3 linked regions of the Coturnix japonica genome follow. The protein of the gene in region 2 binds, or shares a complex with, the protein of the main gene of each other region. Links are inferred from orthologs where the notes say so. Each region holds a gene or a part of one and is shown on either strand. Other genes may lie near its edges.

Region 1 (3,396 bases), on a different chromosome or scaffold from region 2:
AGAGTTCACTGCATAAGAACAAAACTCAGGAGAGCACAAGGATCAGCAGGTAGGTATTGACCAGACTGCCATTCAAAAGTACAGACGTATGCTTGAATCTCATCTAATAGTGCACATACATCCCTTCAAAGACGCATCTTTAAAGTTAATTTCATCTGTAATTCTAGGTGAAAAAATAACGAGGTCCAAGAAAGAGCATAGCCTCCAGTGCAATGCCATCTTGTGGTAAAAGGAGAAAAGGTATGCGTCATCTGCTCCAATTCTTCCATAGTGTACAAAACACACTCAGAATTGTTGACTTGGGAGTGGAAAAAAACGAGACTTTATCACAGTTAGAATTATAAGTACATTCATCTCTATTTACAAGCCTAGCATTTTATTTACTTCCCCAAAACACTGCTCTGCCGTTAGAGTCATTTCCGTCACTGCAGACATTATGTATCCGTAGAGATGTGATTTAGCTTAGTAGAAATGTGTATCTTGTGTAAAAATTCCCATAACTTCCTTGGCCACAACTAGACGCCCCCTTTAGCTTGTTTTGAGGGTACATGAGTCAGCTCGAAATGTCATGGCCATGCAGGCCACATCCCTGTAAAAGGATCCTTCCAGACCTCATTTATTTAAAAATAGCATGGCAATATCTCTGACCCAGACAACCTTTGGGTGCACGGTGTCACCTCACTTTTCACTGTGCTTCATGAGGCACCTGCCAATCCCACTATCCAAATGCTGTTCCCCTTCTTCCTTCACCAACAGCCCTGCCCTCAGGGTCACTGTCAGTCCTAGTGGGGCTGGAATATCACAGAATCACAGAATGACCCGGGTTGGAAGGGACCTCAAGGATCATGTAGTTCCAACCCCCCTGCCTGGCAGGGCCACCAAACATACACATTTACTAGATCAGGTTGCCCAGGGCCCCGTCCAACCTGGTCTTGAACACCTCCAAGGACGGGGCATCCACAACCTCCCTGGGCACCTGGGGAGGACTATATGGGACTTGAATTTTGGTTCTGCGGCTAGAACTTTTAGACATGGCTGTGCCGCAGTGCTGCGGGCACCTGAATGTTATGGAAATTTATGCTGTGAAAGAAATGTATCTATATTATTTACAAATCTGTGAGTCTTAAACCTGCTTGATGTTTGCGTGCTATCACACACACCACCCACAGTGGCTGGCAGAGCTGTGAGGCCGTTTGCTCACCCTGGATGCTGCACATTCAGTCACAGCCCTGGCCTTCCGTGATACCACGGGGCAGCAACACCTGACTTTCACAGACCCTCACTCCAGCCCTGTCCCATGCTGGGGCTAAATGCAATGCCTGCTTGGCAACCACCACACAGCGGGGCGAAGGACTGTGGCAACCACCACACAGCGGGCTGAGGGACTGTGGAAGCCGCTGTGCCCGGCATGGTGTACTACATCTCCCATGGGGCGCTGAGGCCCGTATCTGTGCAGCCTACATTTCCCGTCATTCCGGGCTCTGTACGCAGTTCCGTCGCACTGACCCGTATTGCTGCGCCGCGCTTCCTGCGCTCGGGCGGCCACACGCGGTCCGCCACCATGGCGGCCGTGCGAGTGGAGGAGGTGCTGGCGGCGGCGGCGGCCCAGGAGCAGCAGCAGGCGCGGAGCGTGCAGGTGGAGAAGGAGCTGGAGCTGGAGTTCGACCTGGGCAACCTGCTGGCGCTGGACCCCAACCCGCCTCCCGCCGCGGCGCTACGCGGGGCCGGGCCGCAGCGGGAGTCGCGGCTGCGGGCGCTGGCCCGGGACAACGCGCAGCTGTTGGCGGCGCGGCTGTGGGAGCTGCCGGCCGAGCGGGCGGACGGGGCGGCGGGGCCGCTGGTGGCGCGGCTGCCCGAGCCCGCGTTCCGCCTGCCCCGGGAGAAGCCGCCGCCTCGCCCGCGGCCCCCCACGCGCTGGGAGCAGTTCGCCCGGCTGAAGGGCATCCGGCGCCGCAAGCGGACCTCGCTGGTGTGGGACGAGGAGGCCAAGGAGTGGCGGCGGCGCTGGGGGTACCGGCGGGCGGGCGGCGACCCGGCCCGCGCCTGGTTGGCGGAGGTGCCGGCGGGCGCAGACCCGAACGAGGACCAGTTCGCCAAGCTGCGGCACGCCAAGAGGGAGCGGGTGGCCCGCAACGAGCTCAACCGGCTGCGGAACCTGGCCCGAGCGCACCGCCCCGCCGCCGCCGCCCCGCTGCACCCTACGGGCCACCAGAGCCGGCAGGAGCTGGGCCTGGTATCGCGCGTGGCCCGCGTCTCCACCGCCTCGCTCGGCCGCTTCCAGCCGCGGCTGCCCAAGGAGCCGGCGGAGCCGCCCTCCCGCGACGGCGGCAAGAAACGGCGCTTCCAGCCGCTGCTGGGAGACCTGGCGGCCGAGCGCGGGCGGCAGCTGGAGCTGCTGCGGGGCATGAACAGCAAGAAGCCGGCACTGGACATCACCCGCGCCGTCAACAAGCAGCTCCGCGAGGAGGATGCCGAGGCGGCCGCCGCCAAGGGCAAGAAGCGGGGACAGCGTGGAAAGCGGGGCCGCCGGCAGCAGCGGCCCGGGAAGAGGAGCGGAGGCGGCAAGAAGGGCGGCGCGGCCCGACGGCAGCAGCAGCCAGCGGGGGGCGGTGGCAGGAGGAAGAAGGCGTGAGGGACTGTCTGCATGCAGGCTGCAAAGGGAACAGCGCCGTGGGCACTGAGGGACTGTATGCGAGGGGTGCAAAGGGACTGCTCCACATCCACCGCTGTGCAGCCCGCACCTCTGTCAATAAACACATTTTGGTGTTTGAAATGTCTTGTGCACGGCTCCTGTGGGAGGGCTTGGGGGTGGCTGGGCAGCAGCTCCTGTGTTCTGCAATGGGGAGGTCCTTGAGGAGTGGTCCTTGAGAGCAGCTCAGCAGAGAAGGACCTGGGGGTCCTGATGGACGAAAGACTTAACATGAGCCAGCAGTGCGCTCTGGCGGCCCGGAAAGCAAATGGGATCCTGGGCTCCATCAGGAGAGGGGTGGTCAGCAGGGATAGGGAGGTGATCGTCCCTCTCTACTCTGCTCTTGTGAGGCCCCATCTGGAGTACTGTGTCCAGGTGTGGAGCCCTCAGTACAAAAAAGATATGGAGATTTTGGAAAGGGTCCAGAGGAGGGCCACGAAGGTGATCAGGGGGCTGGAGCACCTCCCCTATGAGGACAGGCTGAGAAAGTTGGGTTTGTTCAGCCTGGAGAAGAGAAGGTTGTGGGGTGACCTCATTGCAGCCTTTCAATACCTGAAGGGAACTTACTCCCAGGAAGGGAGTAAACTCTTTGAAAGGGCTGACACGGGGAAATGGTTTTAAGTTAAAAGAGGGAAGATTTAGGTTGGATGCTGGGGGGAAGTTCTTCACAAGGAGAGTGGTTAGGCCCTGGAACAGGCTGCCCAGGG
Region 2 (3,651 bases):
CCAACTCCCCTGCAATGCACAGAGACAACTACAGCTCCATGAGGTGCTCAGAGCCCCATCCATTCTGACCCCATGTGCCTCCAGAAGTGGAGCATCCACCACTTCCCTGGGCAACCTGTGCCAGTGCTTCACTGCTCCTTTCGTAAAAACATTTTTCTTGTATCCAATCTAAAACTTGTGCAGAGCAGAGGGGCAGGATCCCCTCCCTTGCCTGCTGGCCACGCTTCTTTTGATGCAGCGCACGTTGGCTTTCTGGCCTGTGAGGGAACATTGCTGGCTCATGTACAGCTTCACATCCACCCAAGTCTTTTTCTGCAGGGCTGTGCCCCACCTTTACACCCTCCAGCCTGTACTGACAGCAGGGGTTGCCATGACTCAGGTACAAGACCTTGCACTTGGATTTGTTGAAGCTCACAGGGTTCAGCTGGGCACACTGTTCAAGCCTGTCCAGGTTCCTCTGATGGCATCTTGCCCCTCGGGCAGGTCAGCTGTACCACACAGCCTGGTGTCATCCACACACTTACTAAGGGTGCAAAAGTGTGATTCAGGACATCCTGGTTAAAACACTTGCTAAGACTGTTCTGACACCAGTCAGAACAGAACTTGGAAACTGTGTGTCGCATGTGGCCATATTAGAGGAACTGAGAAAATTACAGAAGCTGACTGAGGTCTTTAACTCCTTTCTTCTAAACAGGCTCAGACTCAGAACACTGGGCTCTTTCCCACTCATCTAAAGAGCTCGCTTTCCAGTGGTTTATAACCTTTCAGAAAAGAACTAATCCAACAGTGTATTATTCCTGTTTAACTACCAATTCACCAGTAGGAGCCATCACCTTCAGTGCACATCCTGTCTTCTTCAAAGCCTTTTATTTTTTCTTTAAGGTGTTGCAATTTTCTGGACTATTCCAGACACAGAACCTGTCGCTAACTTAACACACACCTCCACCTTTCCCACCTAAGCAACTCGATCTTTATTTCCTTTTTTCAACCTGTAAGCCACAAAATTCCTTCTAAACACTTGGTGACTTATCAGCTCTAACAGTTTCCATTAGACAACATTTAATCACTAAAAAAATGTTTAAACTAATTGCAGACCCTCTGTCTTCAGCTTGTCATTTCTCCAGTTTCACCCAAGAACTTCTTGACTATTCCAAAGTATAAGTTGAAATCTTGCTTATGTTTTCACATTTATTTTCATTTCCTGCATTTGTTTTTTTTCAAGCACTGTAACCATATCACATGCTTTAAACATGACATTTTAAAATGTTTTATATGACATTTAATGAAAAAAAAAAGTGTGTTTTGCAGACAGATGCATCCTCAAGCAACAATGCAGAGTCATACTACACAACAAATAAGGGCTGCATACACCATATTTGTGGTTACAAATGAAGTCACTTGAAGAAAGGGAGGAAAACTGATCCTCTCAAGCTTTCAAATGACAAGGAATGACAAAGCTGTGCACACGCGAGACTTCAACAGATCCATCTTAAGAAATACATTTTCTGTCAGTTTGGAGAATTGGCAGGTTCCTCCAGTCTCTAAGAACATCTCTGATTTATTGATGAGCCATATCACTGACCTTAAAACAAACACATTAGTAGAACAGTTTGAATGAAGCAGTTTATCAGGGAACCAGATCACCGAGTTGGAACCAGCTGTTTTTTAAAAGTCGTGGTTCAGCTTCTCTACTACTAGTAACAGAGATCATACAATAAATGGTCCAGCAGTACTATTTGAATGACTGTGATCTGATCTAAGGGATTGCAAGAGGTAGCTGGAAATGCTAACTGCCACATACCTACACTAGGCCATCCATTATGGATACTAGCAGACCTACAGGGAAACCATCACAGTATCTCTATGAAATAATGTGTTTGGAGGAATTACGCTGGATGCACGATAGTGTTCACCAGGATATATCTGATATTCGAAACCAGCATCATTTCTAGAAAAATTAAATTATCCAATTTATTGACTTCTCCCTTCAAACTGAACCACCATCATAACACGAAGTAGTTATCTTAAGCAGTTAAGACTTTGCATGCTTCCTTACTATACAAATGTTTTCAATAAAGCTGTGCAATCACATGCATAATGCATGTCCTGGAGACAAGGAGGCTGCCATCTTTCCTCCTGCAATATACATATGCATTCTGCAGACCTTTGCAACAACCACTTTTACCATTATTTCAAAAAATTCCTAGAAAAAATGATGCGACAGTCTGTCCTGGATACTCTCTTTGGTTTTTTTTCCCCCTTTACATGAGTATTTACACATTTAAAGAGAATAGGTCCCATCTTCTTCATGACACAGCTGATTGATGAACAGCTGCTATTATCGCTAATATATTCAAGCAAACAGTTTTGGTCTCACAGCAAGGCAGGATTCATCTGCTAACTTAGCAACTTTCTTCTTGCACACAAAGACATAATACAGTCTTGCAATAGAAGCATAATTGCTCAAGATTCAATTTGAGTAAACACACTACACTGCTGCACACTGTTCTGTCAGCATGTTTCTGACTCTCAGAATCCTTATTTGAAAGACTAATAGAATACAAGTATTAATAAAATGACAATAAAACCTAACATGTGTAGTAGCTACCTTAGACCTATATGATGGGCCAGCAAGCCTCTGAACACCTTACCTTTCTTAGAAAAGATCAGTTGTGAGAGATGATGTGCAAGTGACTGAAGCGCTGAGGCTCCTCCAAGGCAATCCACATCTGACACCAACAAAATGCTATGAAGACATGTTAAAGCTCTACACTGCACTGTGTTCAGTCTGAAACGAAAACAAAAGATGCACTTAGCAGACCTTTGTAAATAAATGCAGAAATACAGAGAAGGATCTTGAGTTAAGTAAGGGTGTGATCTGGTGTGTGGTTTACCCAAAGACTTGCATCCCTTCATTGAAAAATGAAGCATCAAGATCTGCCATTTTCCAGATCTTAAAAGTAACCCAAAGATGACCAGTCCCTCTAACAGCTCTAAAACAACTGAGTATGTATGAAAAATAGTAAGAGAGACAATGAAATTCCTACTTTTTAATTAACGGCTTCCAAGACGGATTGTGCATACAGATGTCTAGAGCAACACTGTTCGGAAAAGCAGTTTTTTCAAGAATCTGGGGAGGCAAAAAAGAAAGGTTTAGCAAGAAGGCTTTTGTTTTTCTTCTCTAAAGCATGGGGATGGGAAGACCGAATTTTTAGCTTAATGTCAAACAGATACCTCGAGTAAATGTATTTCATACTTGACTGTCCTCAAAACAAAGTCTTACATGCTAAAATTGTCAGAATCTTCCTCAATCACTCAAAAGTGAAGCAGTCAAACACAGGTTTAGCGCAGTGTTTTTTAAGTGAGTAACTGTGCTGTGCATCAGGTGATTTCCTTCATCTCTACTATTCTTCCTCATTTTTGTTTTTTCTAAATCTTTCTTCTCACAGACTCCATTACAGAATTTTCAGATAGTTACAAATCTAAAAGACCTTAACATGAAGCTTAGACTGCCTGTTATTGAGTACAAAAAGCCCTGAATGTTTTCACCTCAAGTGAATGCTGAATCACCCTAATAACTGGGTTGAGATAGGGAATTTTATCTTTACAACCCCAATTAGCAATGACCAAAATGATTCTGCAACAAGAACA
Region 3 (3,651 bases), on a different chromosome or scaffold from region 2:
TAGACTATGGAGAGAAGCAGCTCTCAAGCAGAGATAAGGGAAGACTCGTACCTTTCACGGCTGCTTCACATACCACAAAATAAAACACGGTAGAGATCCTTAAGATCAGCAAAAATACTAACTTACCTTTGCTCCTTCCATTCTGGGCACAAATCAAGCATCAAAGATCAAAATTCCAACTGTAAAGGTTTCATTTATGCCTAAAGCAAACATCAGGTACTTTGCTACCATGGTGATGAACACCGCGAAAACACCTTAATCACTTCTCATTCTGCAAATGGTAAGGAGGGCTTGGTGCAAGTAATCTGGCATTAGACACGTGTCACGAGTTCATACTTTAGAAAATGGTTTGGAGTTTATTAAAGTATTGCAGTTGTGCATAAACTGAAACACATCAGCAGTAAATGAACGCAGAAGTCATGTTGCACATATTATGTGTACACACTATGCTGGTCCTGCAAGGAGTTCATAAGATAGGTTGACTGATCAAGGTTTCCCAACATTGTAACCATAAAACTGTTCGGGAAATGAGTCACCTGCTTAACTAGCACATGTTTGCTCATATCAAGAGAATAAATATTCAGCTTTGGAAAACTAAACATGTTACATCTTGTGGTTTCCCCCCTCCCCTTCTAAATAAGCAGGCTCTAAGCTAGAGCTCAATAACTCAAGGCTCCCTTCAGAATGACAAATCATAAATTTTTGTGAGATTTTTTAATATAAAACTAAACATAAAGGCAGCCAAATCCTTTATGTTTGCCACTTTTATATTATAATTTACATTTAAAAACATTAAGATACAAATAGCTTTCCAAGTTGTTCCAGGCCATCACCCAGATTTTGTCTTTTTAGGACTAACACCACCATCTTCAGCTGACTTCTCTGCTGGTCTCTTTTTTAACCCCTTCATTTTTCTTGTCTGCAGTTTACTAAGATCTTGTTTCTGCATGTGGATCCGACCATAAGTTGTACCAAACACATCATGGGAGATGTTCTTTTTCTTCTTAGGCTGTAAGGGAAGAACGGCATTAGTACTTCTGAGTACAGAGTGTGCTTGTAGCTGTGGTGAGAAGCCAGGCGTGTCTGCCTGTACCATCATCACCAATAAACCACCAAATCAAGTGCCTAAAACCACACATGCATATGATCCCAAGGGATTTACCTTTAGGGCTTTGGGTTGTTTTAAAGATAACTTATAAAGGTCATCTGAAGCTAAATGTGTTCTCCTCATAACCAAATCTAACGAAGGTCCGATATCTTCCAGTTCAATTCTTGGTATTTTACAGCCAGATTTCTTCAGAAGCACCCTAGAAGGAAAGAACAAAAGCAACCAACATTGTCCTTTGGGACAAATATTTATCTGCCTTCCTAAAGGGCAGTTTCAATCTTGCAATTGGGAAGATTATTAAAAACAAACTGCTACTGCTAATTCTATTATTGAGAAAGTTGTCAATAAATTTATAATTAATTTCCATCACAACATGAACACACTGAAAATATGATCTCTTTAGCTTTTGTATTTTAAATGGGATTAGAACTCTCATTACAACTCTTAACATTCAATTACACTACCCTAAAAAGCCACACCATTCCAGAAATTCAAAACAGTGCCCTGTGTATTAACAAACAGGGAAAGTACATATACTGCAGTTTACAGCAAAACACTCTGAGCCCTAGGCAAAAAGTCTGCCTTTTCTATTGGTGCTGTTTTGCTGTGTGTGTACTGTTTTTTGTTTCTTTAAGAAAGAGATTGTTGTTACAGGAGAAATCAAAGTTGCACAGAATACATGGGCTTTCAGCACTTGCAGCCCACAGAGGAAAGGCCATGAACTGTGAGAGCAAATGCCAGGTCAGGAAGATGATCTTGTTCTGCACATTCCTGTTTTCCCTTCTGTATCTCTGACTACAGTGTACTGCCTGCTGTTCTTCAACAGAGTCCTACGACATCAGCCTGACATCAGACTAAGTCTGTGAAGTCTAAAAAGATACTCCAAATTCACCAGTTCCCCAAGTCTAATTTGCAACACATTACCAGTCCAACCATGAGAGAACAGTCCTCCTAGCTAGAAGGAAGAGGAATGAACAAAGAAGGAATGAACACCTTTAGGTCTTAAGTGCTTTCCTTCTGCCACACAAGTTACTCTGAGTTACAGCAGAACACCTCTACATACCATATGTTTTAAATGCAGTTCGCTACTGCTCCAGGCAGTTTAATTACAGAATTACAGGCTAAAATTTGGGAGAGCTTGACAAGTCTACCAGAAAACCAAACATGGATAAAATACACACTCACTTGTAGCTCCTCATGTAAATTTTGCCATCGACAGCTGTGAAATGCAGAACATGTTCTAACCCAGCCAGACGAATGTTGGACACAGTGGGACCTCTGAAGAAATCTGAAAAGATATTTAAAAGTAAGTGTCTGATTCCTTGACTGAAAACAAAGCCAGGAAATGACTGTAACAAATGGCTCACATCATAATGGAGCCATATGATGGAAGCAATATAAACTCCTTGTCTCTGTAGAGATTCTCTTCTGGCATCAAAAAGGGTCTTTGCACAACCAAGTGCATGTAGGAATCCTGAGAGGAACACTTCCCAGAGTTAATTCAGAAGCAATATTCATATATGGGACCTAAGCCCAAGTGCATGGACAAGAACAAATACCCTTTCAGAGCAGTAATTCTGTTTTAGCAATCTGACTGGGATAGCAAAACAGTCTATTCCTCTACATTTTTTAGCTACAAGGTCTTTAAACACACACTGTTTTATGTTTAGGCCAGTTCACATTCAGCTAAGCAGATTAGTACAGAGAAGCCATTTATTCAGATGCCTTTTTAAGACAGCACTCAAGACTCTTAATCAGAGTCAGACTTGGAAGAGCATAAAGAAGCGATAAAGACTTGTACAAAACAGAACAGAACTATTTTGTTTAATCTTATCTACCTTCCCCTCCCAGTGACTTGGGCAAGAAAGGTTTTGGTATGTAAATTCCTTCGTGCCTCCCCCACAATAAAGCACTTAAGTTCTTTGAGTAAGAGAGATTTGTCATTACAATTAATACTTTCTCTATTTAATAAGCAAAACACACCTATAGAAAATAAACACCAGAAATACTTGCTTAGTTTGCAAACAGAACGCCGAAAGACAGGTTAAATACCAAATAAACCATCCCCAGACAGCTTTTCACATGAGACTATGAAAAATACTGTGCAACCAGTGCCTGAAATAAGCACAGCAATCTGCCCAACAGATGCAGGGGGTGGAAAAAAGAATGTGACCTTGACTGAGGGAACAAGGTGTGCTAATAAACACGGCAGGGCAATGCTGAAAGACAGGAGAACCACTAACAGATGCAAAACACATCAGTCTCTTTCGTTCTGTCCCGTTTCAGGTTTCTCAGCTGGTTGTCTTTTCCTCCACTACCTTTTTCAAGAGGTATCAGCATCAGAATGACATCCAAAACAAAGTCTTGCTGGCATGTATCAGCTGGAGTCTAGCCAGCAATTTCCTTGGTCAGTTAAATACTCTCACTCCTCCCTCCTGGGTTGAATTTATAGCTACTAACAAGAAGTTGCAAATAAAATCCTTAGTCCAATTTTGCACATATTTTTCCCTTTGACTCGCTCTCTGTGGGTTCACAAGTGAACA

Evidence for each region.
Region 1: HEATR3 (region 2) and RRS1 share a complex: the UniProt entries of both Homo sapiens proteins name them as parts of the hexameric 5S RNP precursor complex. The link is inferred for Coturnix japonica from reciprocal best matches to the Homo sapiens genes HEATR3 and RRS1.
Region 3: HEATR3 (region 2) and RPF2 share a complex: the UniProt entries of both Homo sapiens proteins name them as parts of the hexameric 5S RNP precursor complex. The link is inferred for Coturnix japonica from reciprocal best matches to the Homo sapiens genes HEATR3 and RPF2.

What each region holds. Positions count from the first base shown.
Region 1 is NC_029517.1:104,230,325-104,233,720, forward strand, and holds RRS1 (ribosome biogenesis regulatory protein homolog), read left to right. Parts: upstream 1-1,494; 5' UTR 1,495-1,561; coding exon 1,562-2,632; 3' UTR 2,633-2,773; downstream 2,774-3,396. UniProt on the Homo sapiens protein: Involved in ribosomal large subunit assembly. May regulate the localization of the 5S RNP/5S ribonucleoprotein particle to the nucleolus.
Region 2 is NC_029526.1:5,553,272-5,556,922, forward strand, and holds part of HEATR3 (HEAT repeat-containing protein 3), read right to left. Parts: intron 3,131-3,651; coding exon 3,048-3,130; intron 2,789-3,047; coding exon 2,652-2,788; intron 1-2,651. UniProt on the Homo sapiens protein: Plays a role in ribosome biogenesis and in nuclear import of the 60S ribosomal protein L5/large ribosomal subunit protein uL18 (RPL5). Required for proper erythrocyte maturation.
Region 3 is NC_029518.1:60,331,197-60,334,847, forward strand, and holds the end of RPF2 (ribosome production factor 2 homolog), read right to left. Parts: exon of another isoform or gene 3,395-3,651; intron 2,397-3,394; coding exon 2,294-2,396; intron 1,308-2,293; coding exon 1,163-1,307; intron 1,010-1,162; coding exon 830-1,009; 3' UTR 327-829; downstream 1-326. UniProt on the Homo sapiens protein: Involved in ribosomal large subunit assembly. May regulate the localization of the 5S RNP/5S ribonucleoprotein particle to the nucleolus.